Linked DNA regions of Schizosaccharomyces pombe. The gene in region 2 interacts genetically with the main gene of each other region. Each region holds a gene or a part of one and is shown on either strand. Other genes may lie near its edges.

Region 1 (6,271 bases), 1.7 Mb from region 2:
TCAAACGTGATAAGACTTCATTTGTTTCATTCGAAACAAGTGTCATATTAATAGAAATCTGAGCCAAATAATTTGAATGACTTCGAGATAAAATTTTTTCGTAATGGTTCAAATTTTGAACCATAGTGACTATGTGATCCTGCACATCACCAAGATATAAAGCAATTTCACCTCTAGGAGCTACTTGCCATGACTCGTTGCATCGTTTGGAAAGACCTCTAACAACATCTGCCTTATTGGCAAGCAAACGTAGCAAACTCATGATCAGCTTGCGGCATTCACCAACGCGCTGCAACATTCTCTCTTGAGGCTTCACTTCCATTACGTGATCATAATGGATACTCAAAATCATGGAATCAATTGTGTCGACTTCATCTTCAATTTGCTCAATGAATGGAGCGAAAGCATCTGTAGTATCGTCCAGCAATGCATATGCGATCCAATCTGCATTCACTGTCAGATAACCATTCAGTTGACGAATCCTTCGACGAACATTAGCTGGATGCGGTGTCGGGTTCATATGAAAAGTAATTATACCGTCACGAAAGACGACTAGATAAAAATTCAACGGCTTTAGGTACTCAGAGTTTGAGGGTAATTGGTTGAATGAACGGAAGGTAACAAAGTAATACGTTCTAAAAAGCTCGACTTTTTCACGATCCTCTTCGAGAGTAATATCTTCAACGGTTAAAGGATGGATTCCAAAAGCCTTTGCCAGAACTCGAATTTCTTCTTCCTTTGGACAAGAGACATCTAGCCACCAAGTTCCTCCAGAATGGAAAAGGTCCTCAAAGCTTTGGCCATCGTGAACGAGTTCCCACATTTCATGTGAATGGATAGTAGAAGGAAGCTCATCGGTAAAGAATGTAAATCGATATGGTTTTTCAATTTCTGACTTACGAAATTGAGCCCAACGATCACGAACACGATAACGGCCATTTACAAGTAACGGTTCACTCAACTTCCTATTTCTTTCACGACGCTTATCAACATCTTCTACCGAATATTCTTCAAAATTGGCAACCATCTTTTTGGTCCATTCATCAAGGACAGAAAACTTTGGTTCTTGAGCATTGTTTGGAGATATGGGTAAATACAACTCATCCCGAGATAACTTTCGAGTAGCCGGATGATCATCAACAGCACTCTCAGTCACGTCGTTGTTTGCAAACTGTTCATAGTGACTATCATGAGAATTAGCTGATTTAGGGTAGACATGGGGGGATGAAATAGCAAAGTCACTGACCTCAGCAAGTGGACTAGGTTGATCTCTTGTATTCTTCCCATTTTCCGTCTCAAATTCTTTCCTTTGAATGTCCTCTGGATGGCTTTCCGGCAGTGATATATTTTCGATGTCTTCATCGCTTTCATAGTGACGGTGTGGACTTTTCGGGGAAGAACAAACAGAACTAGGCATTGAAGGAGGGTTATTAATATCCTTGTCATCTTCCCCATTACTTGAATGCTCAGACGGTGGTTCTAATAGATCACTATCACTGTTTCCCAATAATCTTGTTCCCTCATCCGCTTCGTCTGGTTGCAAACTAGGGTCCACTGGAAATCGATGTTTAGATTTACTCGAGTGTTTACGATCAGAAAATCTAGGCCTGTTCTGCATCCTAGCATTTTGTTTGTAATAAAAGCCCGTAGGCACTGACCGGGATGTATTGGATGGCATAATTCAAACAGGATTATGGATGCTAAGAATTGACAGGTTGTATAGCAATGAATGTATTATTCTTGGTTTATCAAAATAGTTATAATGCCAAAGAGATCGAATAGCGTTTGGTTTAACAAACTAACGGTTTGTGGATTATTTATATAATTACTCTATTGGTGAGAAAGAGAGGATTTCTGCCCACATTTGATTGAGAGGTTTGAATTTATTAAAAATATTTAAAGAATAATTTCACAAAACTCAAACAACAGAGGAAATGCCAATTTTTAGAGATGTGTTGTTGAGGTGTGGCAGCTAAGACGCTTATCATTGATATGGAAGGCAATTTTTTAAAGACCCCCAAATCATATACCAGACAAAATACAGTATCTTTAAGCATAGTTTTGTTTAATTTCATCAATATTTTTGAAGTGTATTTGTAAGAATCCAATGCAGCATAATTAAATTCATTTCCGGCCTACACATATTGAACCAGGTTCAAATTGGTGCAAATTAATTATTTTCTTGTAAGGATGAATAGAATTGGTTAGTAAATTCTGCTGAAGTTGCACATAAGAGGACGGTTTTGTTTACTAGACAAAATAAGTACCGCGACTTATAAAAAATCTTATCCCAACCAGATTGTCCCTTGTAACAATTTAAAATCCTACTTTTCGTATTACCGCGCAATCAAGTTGCCCACAACGGGACTGCAGCATTGCAGTAGAAACCCCATCAAACGTGTAAGTGAAATGAGCGAACAATAACCCTGAAATTATAAAGTCGTATTATCTTGTTTAAATCAACTCATACCTTTTTCATATAAGAATATCGTATTGTTTCAGGATAACAGAAACAATTTCAGGGAAACTTGAAAGGTTTATGATAAACGCAGTATGCAATTTTAGAACAACGAGAATTAAAAAACTTTACATTTAAGCCAAGAAGTATTAAGTTTAAAATACACAAGTTGAAGGAGCAATTAATCAGCACAATGTAATTTGATCTTTTTTGTTCGTAAAATTACCGTTTGCGGTAATCACCAATCTGTGATGACAACGCCGAAAAGCAGCTTACATAATAACACACACTTTTCAGCTCACTGTACTCCTTTGTAGTCAATGTAATATAATGGAATTTCGCCGCCTCCTACGGATATTCAAGCATATCGCATATGCCATCGAAAACTAAAGAAAAACGCCTTCTTCTTGAAGCTTCCTGCATAGAGTGATAAAAAACCTTCTAAAACTTCTTTGCCCCTAAAGTAAGCCTCTTGTTTCTGTCAAGCTTCCTCAATTATTGCACTCATTGTTTTAACTGTAATCTTTCACGCTTATGTTTGATACTTGGTATCTTGTTTTCGAAAGAAAAACTTATTGTAACATACTTTAAGACAGCAATTCCTCATTCAGTGAGTAAAAACGCGTTTTCTACCGAATTCCTATTGACACTGGGCATTTGTTTGGCATTTGTTTTTGGAAGCCTAATCATACGTGTAAGAAGTATTTTTACGATATTGTAAAAGAATAAGAGAGGTGTAGTGATGTTTCTGTTAGATATCCATAAATCTCAGTATAGTCCGTCATATATTCGGCTGACCAACCAACCTTCCCAACTTTCCTTTCTCACTTCTACCAACCTCAACTAACCACCGCTTTTAATAATTCCTTGCAAATATGAGTAATTCTCGTGAAAACTCGGTGTATCTCGCCAAGTTGGCCGAACAGGCTGAACGCTACGAAGGTATGTGATAAGGATCCGCTGTTGGAAGTAGATATAGCGTAATAGTACGAAATTGTCAATGAAGGGACCTTGATGAAAAGTTATTATATTGCAGTTTGCTACTGTATGTGGGAGTTCTTTGGTTTTTTAATATTGTTGGTCTTGAACAGGTTGCGTTGTTGAATGTTGCAAGGTTGTTTGTTTGATGCGGCTGAGAAAAAGAGGGGTTATGGGTTAGTACGTGGATGACTTGTGTATTTTAAAATGTCCCCAAAATCGCTTGATGAGGTTTAAAATGAGTTCTTACAACATTGTTTTGTTGTTGGACATGTTTATGATATCTGAGGTTATGGACAAGAACGGCTTGCAATTCTCTTGATTTTATGGTTTTCGTAATCATTATTTTTTGTCGCCTTTGTTCTATTTCCTACCTTGCTTCCTTTTTTCTCTTAAAACCACGATTGAACTGCCTTGATTGTCTTATCATTCTTATCTCCTCTTATGATTTGAGGTTTCTTTGTAACCACCAAGACAAAGAAATTCACTAACATCAGGAGTAACACGAAACACCGTTCTGTAGGTAAACCTCAACGCAATTAAGGATATTATTACCTTCATATCTTCACCATGCAATGATAACTCGTTTTGAATTACTGTTTGTTGACCCGTCTATACTTGGCTTTGCTTCTTTCATCTCTCCTTTTTGTTTTTGCTTCTTTGCTAACTGATAATGTATAGAAATGGTCGAAAATATGAAGAAAGTTGCATGCTCAAACGATAAACTTTCTGTTGAAGAACGTAACTTGCTTTCTGTTGCCTATAAAAACATCATTGGTGCTCGCAGAGCATCATGGCGTATTATTTCCTCTATAGAGCAAAAGGAGGAAAGTAGGGGCAACACTCGACAAGCCGCATTGATTAAAGAGTACCGTAAGAAGATTGAAGATGAGTTATCCGATATTTGTCATGACGTCCTTTCCGTCCTTGAAAAGCATTTGATTCCTGCCGCTACAACCGGTGAATCCAAGGTATTTTACTATAAAATGAAGGGTGATTACTATCGTTATTTGGCCGAATTTACTGTTGGCGAAGTTTGCAAAGAGGCCGCCGACAGCTCTTTAGAAGCTTACAAGGCAGCTTCTGACATTGCTGTTGCTGAGTTGCCTCCCACGGACCCTATGCGCTTGGGTTTGGCTCTCAACTTTTCCGTCTTCTATTATGAAATCCTTGACTCTCCAGAAAGTGCATGCCATTTGGCTAAACAAGTATTTGATGAGGCCATTTCAGAGCTCGATAGTCTTTCTGAAGAATCTTACAAAGACTCTACTTTAATCATGCAGCTTCTTCGCGATAACTTGACTTTATGGACTTCTGACGCCGAATACAACCAGTCTGCTAAGGAGGAGGCTCCTGCTGCCGCTGCTGCTTCTGAAAACGAACATCCCGAGCCCAAAGAGTCTACGACTGACACTGTTAAAGCTTGAAACTAAAGCGTTAGCATTTTATCAGTAAACGGATCCTAATGGTCTGATTACTTTTGCATATATGAACTGATACCTATGATTTATCTAATATTCGTAGCCATATAACAAAGTTATCTTCATTATATTCTTCTTGCACTTTATTTCTATCATTTATAAATTTATAACTTTGATTACGTTTCATGAGTAGTTAGTTTGGCTTTGTGGCCTTAAAACCATCAAAGCATACTATTATTATACATTGTACATGCGTTACACTACACCACCCCTTTTTTTAACGTTTAGTTTAGTATGCAGTAGAGTATAGTTCATTTGAGTAACGTTAACATTAAATAATCATGAATTAAGCCCAAATAGATATAGCAACTCTTCTTTGTCAAGTCTCGACAGAGGATTGTTTTCGTTTGAATCCAAAGCTTCTTTAACCAATTGACGCTTCTTACGTTGAACACTGACGATACGCTCTTCAATCGTATCTTTAGTAATAAACCTATACACGGTGACAGGCTTCTGCTGTCCAAGCCGATGAACACGATCTATTGCTTGATCCTCTATGCTCGGATTATAAAATGGTTCCTGTAGAATAACGTGATTTGCAATCGTCAAATTCAAACCCACGCTGCCGGCTTTCAATGAAACCAGCATGACTAAAACATCTTTATCGTTATTAAAAGAATGTAGGGACTTTTGCCTCTGGTTCGCAGACATAGTACCATCATAACGAACATGTCGTATATTTTCTAATTTTAGCATGTGCGATACGAGGCATAAATACTGGGAGAACTGAGAATAGACCAGAATTTTTTCGTTTCTCTTGGAGCCAATTATATCCAAAATTGTTTGTCTTGCTTGATTCAATTTCGAGGAGCTTTTCCATTCGCTCGCCCGCTTGCCAAATTTTTTGGTAAACATCTGGTCAATACGATTTTCCCACCTTAATTTAATGCTTTCTTGTTCTGAAAAAGATTGATTCATATCTAACTCTAATTGCTTTAAAGAGTTTAAAGGACCATGGATTGCTTGAAGGATAGTTGCATCAACTAATGAATCTTGAACTATATTACCTCTGCACATTGGGCACTTTGCTATGATCGTAGAAGTGCTTGATGATCCATACTTCTGGCCGACTAGCATGCTCATACACTCTTGACATGTAAAGTGCCCGCAAGGGATAATAAAAACGGGAGCCAAACAAGGATCCAAACAAACACTACAGTTGAAATCCTGTAGTGTAGCAATTCTTTCTATGGTCAAGGGATCCAAAGACTTGCAAGCATTTCTGACGTTTTCGGAATCTCTAATTCTAAAGCTGTTATCCAAGCTAGAACTCTTAACAAGCCATGGGTGACAACAAAATTGGCGAAGACGGAGTAAAGATACTAATAAGAACCCGTAGCGCGAAAGATCGTGA
Region 2 (5,208 bases):
ATGTTAAATCTGTTCGTGGCAGTTTCTGCAGGTAGTTTATTAGGCGATGTTTTTCTACAATTACTTCCTACTGTGTATTCGACAAATGGAGGAGATTTTCCAGCATCTTCTGTTTATTCAATCCTTATTGGAGCCCTAGTATTCTTTCTAATGGATAAGGGAATCCGCATTTTAATACATGAGCGTCCGTCTTCGCTCTCTAAGCCAAAGAAAGACGGTGAAGAGACTTCAAGTGTAAACAAACCTTCTGCTTCTTCAACTCAAACTGACGTTAAAGGAGTGGAAGGATTGCGGAAACGAAATGTCAAAGATGATCAGAACTCTAAAGGTCACGAGCCTGATTTGATTAGACATGTAGTTGAAGAAGTTAGTGAAGAGTATAACGACAAAACTGTGGTATATTTAAATTTGTTATGTGATTCATTTCATAATTTTATGGACGGTTTGGCGATCACTTCCGCCTTCTTTACCAATACCTCCATTGGCATATCCACCACATTTGCTGTTCTATTACACGAAATTCCAGCAGAAATTGGTGACTTGGCTATACTTCTGAGAAATGGGTATACGAAATCGCAAGTACTCGTGTTGCAAATGATCACTATGGTGACGGGATTATTGGGAGCAATTGTCGCTACATATATATACACTGCTTCATCTTCATCTTCACCATATGGTTCTTTCCTTCTACAACTTGAGGATAAACTCCTTCCTTTCACGGCTGGTGGTTTCCTTTATATAGCTTACCTAGGCGTATTTCCCGAGCTTTTGGAAATCAACTTATCAAAAGGAAAGCTGGGAAATATGATTTACACGGCATTGTACATGATGTTTATTGTTGGAGGTTTTTCTTTTTTATATTATGTTTAAAGTGACAGATAACTTACATTAGGGCGTGGTATGGAGTTGATATTGTACTATTCTAGAAATATAAATCGGGACTAATATTTTTTGTCCTTCATTTTTTCTGGCATTGTGCTTTGTCTTTACATTTAATATTAAAAAATTACACATTTATGAAGATGTGTAGAAACATTATTTTAGTTCTTTTATTAACTTGTTAATTATTATGGTAGAATTAAGTTGTTCACATTCACATAAGGCGCTTTCGTGTTCAAACTTGTAATTTTTGATCCCTCTTATTTCAAAATTTACGCGCTTTAAATCGTTTAAGAGTATTTTTATTTCTTTTCCATAACCTGTTTCTATTCTAGCTGACAGAAAAGATTGTAAACAATCGGCATTGAGAGTAAACAAATAATGCCAATTTAAAATAACATTCAATGTTTTTGCTTTTCATAAGCGAAAACACGTTTTGACCAAACCTGACAAGACTAAAACTATATGGAATATTATTATTATAAGGGTAAAGGAAACGAGTAAGAATTCAAGGGCAATAAACAAAACATCCTAACTTTTTTACCGTTGTTTCTATCACCATCCTAATGTTTTGAGTTTTCATCATTGTAACATTCCTATGTCAAACAGTGGATGAAAACACTTGTTACCCAAGTCACAACTACTAACTGTTTTACAGTACTGTTTTTAAGTTACTCGTTACTTATATGTAAACAATACAGTTGCTAGATATGGTAGTAAAAAGTATATAGGGTATAAGGGAAAATATATTTCATTACTTCAAATCGATAAAGATTTTGAACCAAAGAATATATAAGCACCCACTTTTTGAAAAAAATTTGTAAAAAAAGTCGAGCAAATATATATATATGATGGTATCACGTAACCTCGTTATATATCATAAAATTAGATGGTAATTGGTCAAGGATGCAACCTCGCATTAGAAAGTGATGAGATGGATCGTTCATAAAAACAATCCAACCACTACCTACTAAATTGAGGAGACCTCAAACCATTTTCGTCCGTTCATCGGTAAAGAAATCATCCCGATGCTTTGGTGGATTGAGTTTCACCAGCCAAAAGCATGAATTTTAAGTCATAAGAACCTCTTTACAACTTGTCATCAACAAAGCGTTGAGCCTTGTCATGAGCCTCTTGAGAGGTGCTCTTGTCCTCGTCAGAGGTAAAAGCAGAGGCGACCTTGTCGTAGGCACCAGTAATGGATTCCTTGGCCTTGTCGAGGGTAGACTTGGAGGAGTCAGGAGTCATTTTCTCCTTGCCTTGTTCAGTAAAAGACTTTCTTGCGGGATCAGACATTTTGAATATTTAAGACAATTAAATTGATTGGAATTGAATTGAATGATTAAACTGTTGAACTTGGACTCGTATTTATAGCTTCTTGTCCAATTGCTCATGTCATTATGATCGCAGCCCATTACATCACATTTGCGTCAGTTAGCATTAGAAACTGGAGAAAACTGCGATCCAAGGAATTACGTAGTTTTCTATCAGATAGCTCGCTATCCAATCAGACAAATAATGAGCAGCTTCTAGCAAAGCCCCTTTTCTTCGCACCATTCGTTTTCTGAGCTACGTAAGCTATTTCCAATGAGCGCCCACTCTACTTTCTTATGATGTAATACAGAAGCTTTGTGGATTTGCAAAGCGAGATAGCGAGTACGGTAAAACCCTCGCTAGGTTAGAGGTTCAAAGTGGAGAGAAGCGAAGTGGTGGTACTAGTTCAAAGAGAGAGAGAGAGAGAAAGAGAGGAAGAAGGGGAAGTGCATCTTGTCTTTAGAGTGAGTATCCCTTAGGAAACAAACTTATTTCTGTAAATAAATTTTAAGAAGTTTTCTTTGTCTTTTAAAATTCCGAAGTATTCTTTGCATGATGGTGTTGTTATTGGGTGATGAAATTTTGATCTAAATAGGGGAACTTCACTTGTTGAAAAAAAAAACAATTAGAGCAAAAACAATAACACTTTGCAAAACGTTATTTAAAAGATAACCACAACCATGTTCAAAGTGAGTATGGCTTAGTAGAGGCAATCTCATTCAGGTATTACACACACTGCGCACAATAACACAATTGTTTCAACGCCGCACGTATTGCATGCGATACATCGTGAAATTCCGTTATAAGCAGGGAATATTACGAGATGCTGCAAACTGCGGATTACACAACTACGCAATAGAGAGTTGGTAAACCATTATTTTGTTAGACGAACTGCAATGATGGTTTTGTTAAATCAATAATAAGGAGAAGTAAGGTGTAGCTAAAGACCATTTATAATCTTTTAGGAAGCGTAACCCAAGGTGTGTAACCCGAAGTAGAGAAGAAAAGATGATACGTGAGAAATGTGAGATGAGAACATGAGCAAAAGTAGGAATGGCTCGACGTTTTTTGGTTTCTTTTTTTTTTTTTTTAAATTGATTTTATTTTATTTATTTTTAACTTTATAGAAATTTTTTTATTTTTTTTCTTATTTTATTTAATTTATTTATTCATTACAGCATTTCGAGATGGTTTCAATATTTTGTTTCTCTTTATTAATTTTTTTTTTTTTAAAACAAAGAAAGAAAGTGAAAGAATAAAATAAACTGGCCATCTTCTATTATACCCATTCTCAACAAAAACTCTTTTGAATGTAGTCCAATCACCAAAGCAAAAAAAAGTAAATTCAACTCAATCGTTCTTCCTTTTCTTTTATTTACTCGTTTTTTTTTAGGGATTTCGCTTCATACTCGTTTTTTCTTTTTAATATTCATTCCATTTTCTTTTCTTGAATAATTCGTTTACTCCTTTATTATTATTATTTTTTTTTTTTTTTAAATTTCATTCATCTTTGTATTTTATCTCTCCGTTTCACTTCTTTTCGTTCATTGTTATGGTATTCCTTTCCACAACTCCTTCACTTATATACTTCTTGTTTGCCTTTTTCTTTTCGCTTGTTTCAGTCCACTAATCATCAACTTGAATCTGTTTGCTTACTTGTATACATACCAAAACCTTTCTCATTCGAGTATGTCTATCATACCACCCAATTTTCCATCTGACTATATACAGTATATCTGATTCGCTTAATCCATCCTAACTTCTCGTCATCCACCTTCCAATTTAACATTTTACGCATACATGCTAATGAGCTTTTGAGCAATTGATTTGCATTTTGTATATTATTATAGACTTATTTAATGAGTAATTTTTTTGTCTCGATCCATCATTTTCATTTAGAAATATGTCTAGGTTGTCTCAGTTGTTAAACTCCAAAAAAGCAAAACAAAAACCTCCGTCTGAACATCCCATCGGTCTTTCTTCTATCCTAAAACAAGACTCCTCTTCAAGTTCTGATTCTCCCAACTTTTTTCCATCCTCCAGCACAAATGACCATCAAGAACGTGACACAATTAACGACACTAACTTTGTAGTTCCAGGTACGCCATTATAATTAGTCACAAAAAGTGGAGAACTAGAAATTAACATTCATAGAGAAACAAAAAACATCCAAGCTCGCATTACTCGCCGCTGAACGGAAAAAATTGCATTCTTCTTTTCCATCCACTCAACAGCAGCCGCCTAAAACCGAAAAGGAAAAGGAAAAAGAGCCTATTCAAGCTAAACATAAGAAAAACGTTGAAAATGATTTTTTGTTGCAAAGGTTTCGAAAGGTTCGCATTGCAGAGAAGAAAGACTCTGAACAACCATCGTCTCATGAAATTCATCTTACTGACGATGATGATAAAACCACACTCCAAAAACAAATGGTGGAAAGCGACCAACTGAAGAAGAACCCCCAAGAGGTAAAATTAGCTCCTCCTTCCTCATTTGCGAAATGTCTTACAGGCGCAAAGAAGCGCGTTTTTGAGGACCAAATTGAGATTCATCTAAGCAAAAGTTCACTTTTAGGATTTAACGCCCCTAGCCCTGACGACATAGTTTTGATGGCTCAATCTAAATCTAAAAGTATGCTTTGTCTCCTTCAATTCATCTTTTCCTTTTTTTTTCGCGCTAATTGTTAAACAGGTTTCCAAAAACACAAACGTTTGGACGAGCAATTGCTAAACTCTGTAAAGTCAATGAAGAAAGTTTCTCAACAATTGAAACCTCAAAAAAATACTAATGATTCAAATAATGATCACACCTTACTTTCCCAAGATCAGTTAATTGAACTTTCCAAATTAGTAAAGCCTCGAACGAAACTCTTGTTGTTGGGCCCGCCCAAGTCTGGTAAAAAAACACTCCTTTCTAGATTATTTTTTCAAATTGGATCATTTGATCCCAAAACCATGCAAAAATGTACAGTACTGAATGCCAAAAAAGAAAGTTTGAGCTCAGTGCTAAAGTCCACCA

Evidence for each region.
Region 1: of hsp9 (region 2) and rad25, extra expression of one rescues a mutant of the other (dosage rescue), as found in Schizosaccharomyces pombe (one study listed by BioGRID).

The regions. Positions count from the first base shown.
Region 1 is NC_003424.3:3,581,842-3,588,112, reverse strand, and holds rad25 (14-3-3 protein Rad25), read left to right. Parts: upstream 1-3,271; 5' UTR 3,272-3,333; coding exon 3,334-3,400; intron 3,401-4,117; coding exon 4,118-4,863; 3' UTR 4,864-4,985; downstream 4,986-6,271. Other genes in the region: vacuolar CorA family magnesium ion transmembrane transporter Mnr2, read right to left, coding at 1-1,678; rrp1 (ATP-dependent DNA helicase), read right to left, coding at 5,197-6,271. UniProt on the Schizosaccharomyces pombe protein: Acts in cell cycle and stress checkpoint signaling by sequestering signal transducers regulated by the checkpoints. Required for the DNA damage checkpoint that ensures that DNA damage is repaired before mitosis is attempted.
Region 2 is NC_003424.3:5,318,431-5,323,638, forward strand, and holds hsp9 (plasma membrane heat shock protein Hsp9), read right to left. Parts: upstream 2,247-5,208; 5' UTR 2,176-2,246; coding exon 1,969-2,175; 3' UTR 1,527-1,968; downstream 1-1,526. Other genes in the region: zip3 (ZIP zinc transporter 1), read left to right, coding at 1-870; ski7 (ski complex-interacting GTPase), read left to right, coding at 4,097-4,292, 4,348-4,821, 4,882-5,208.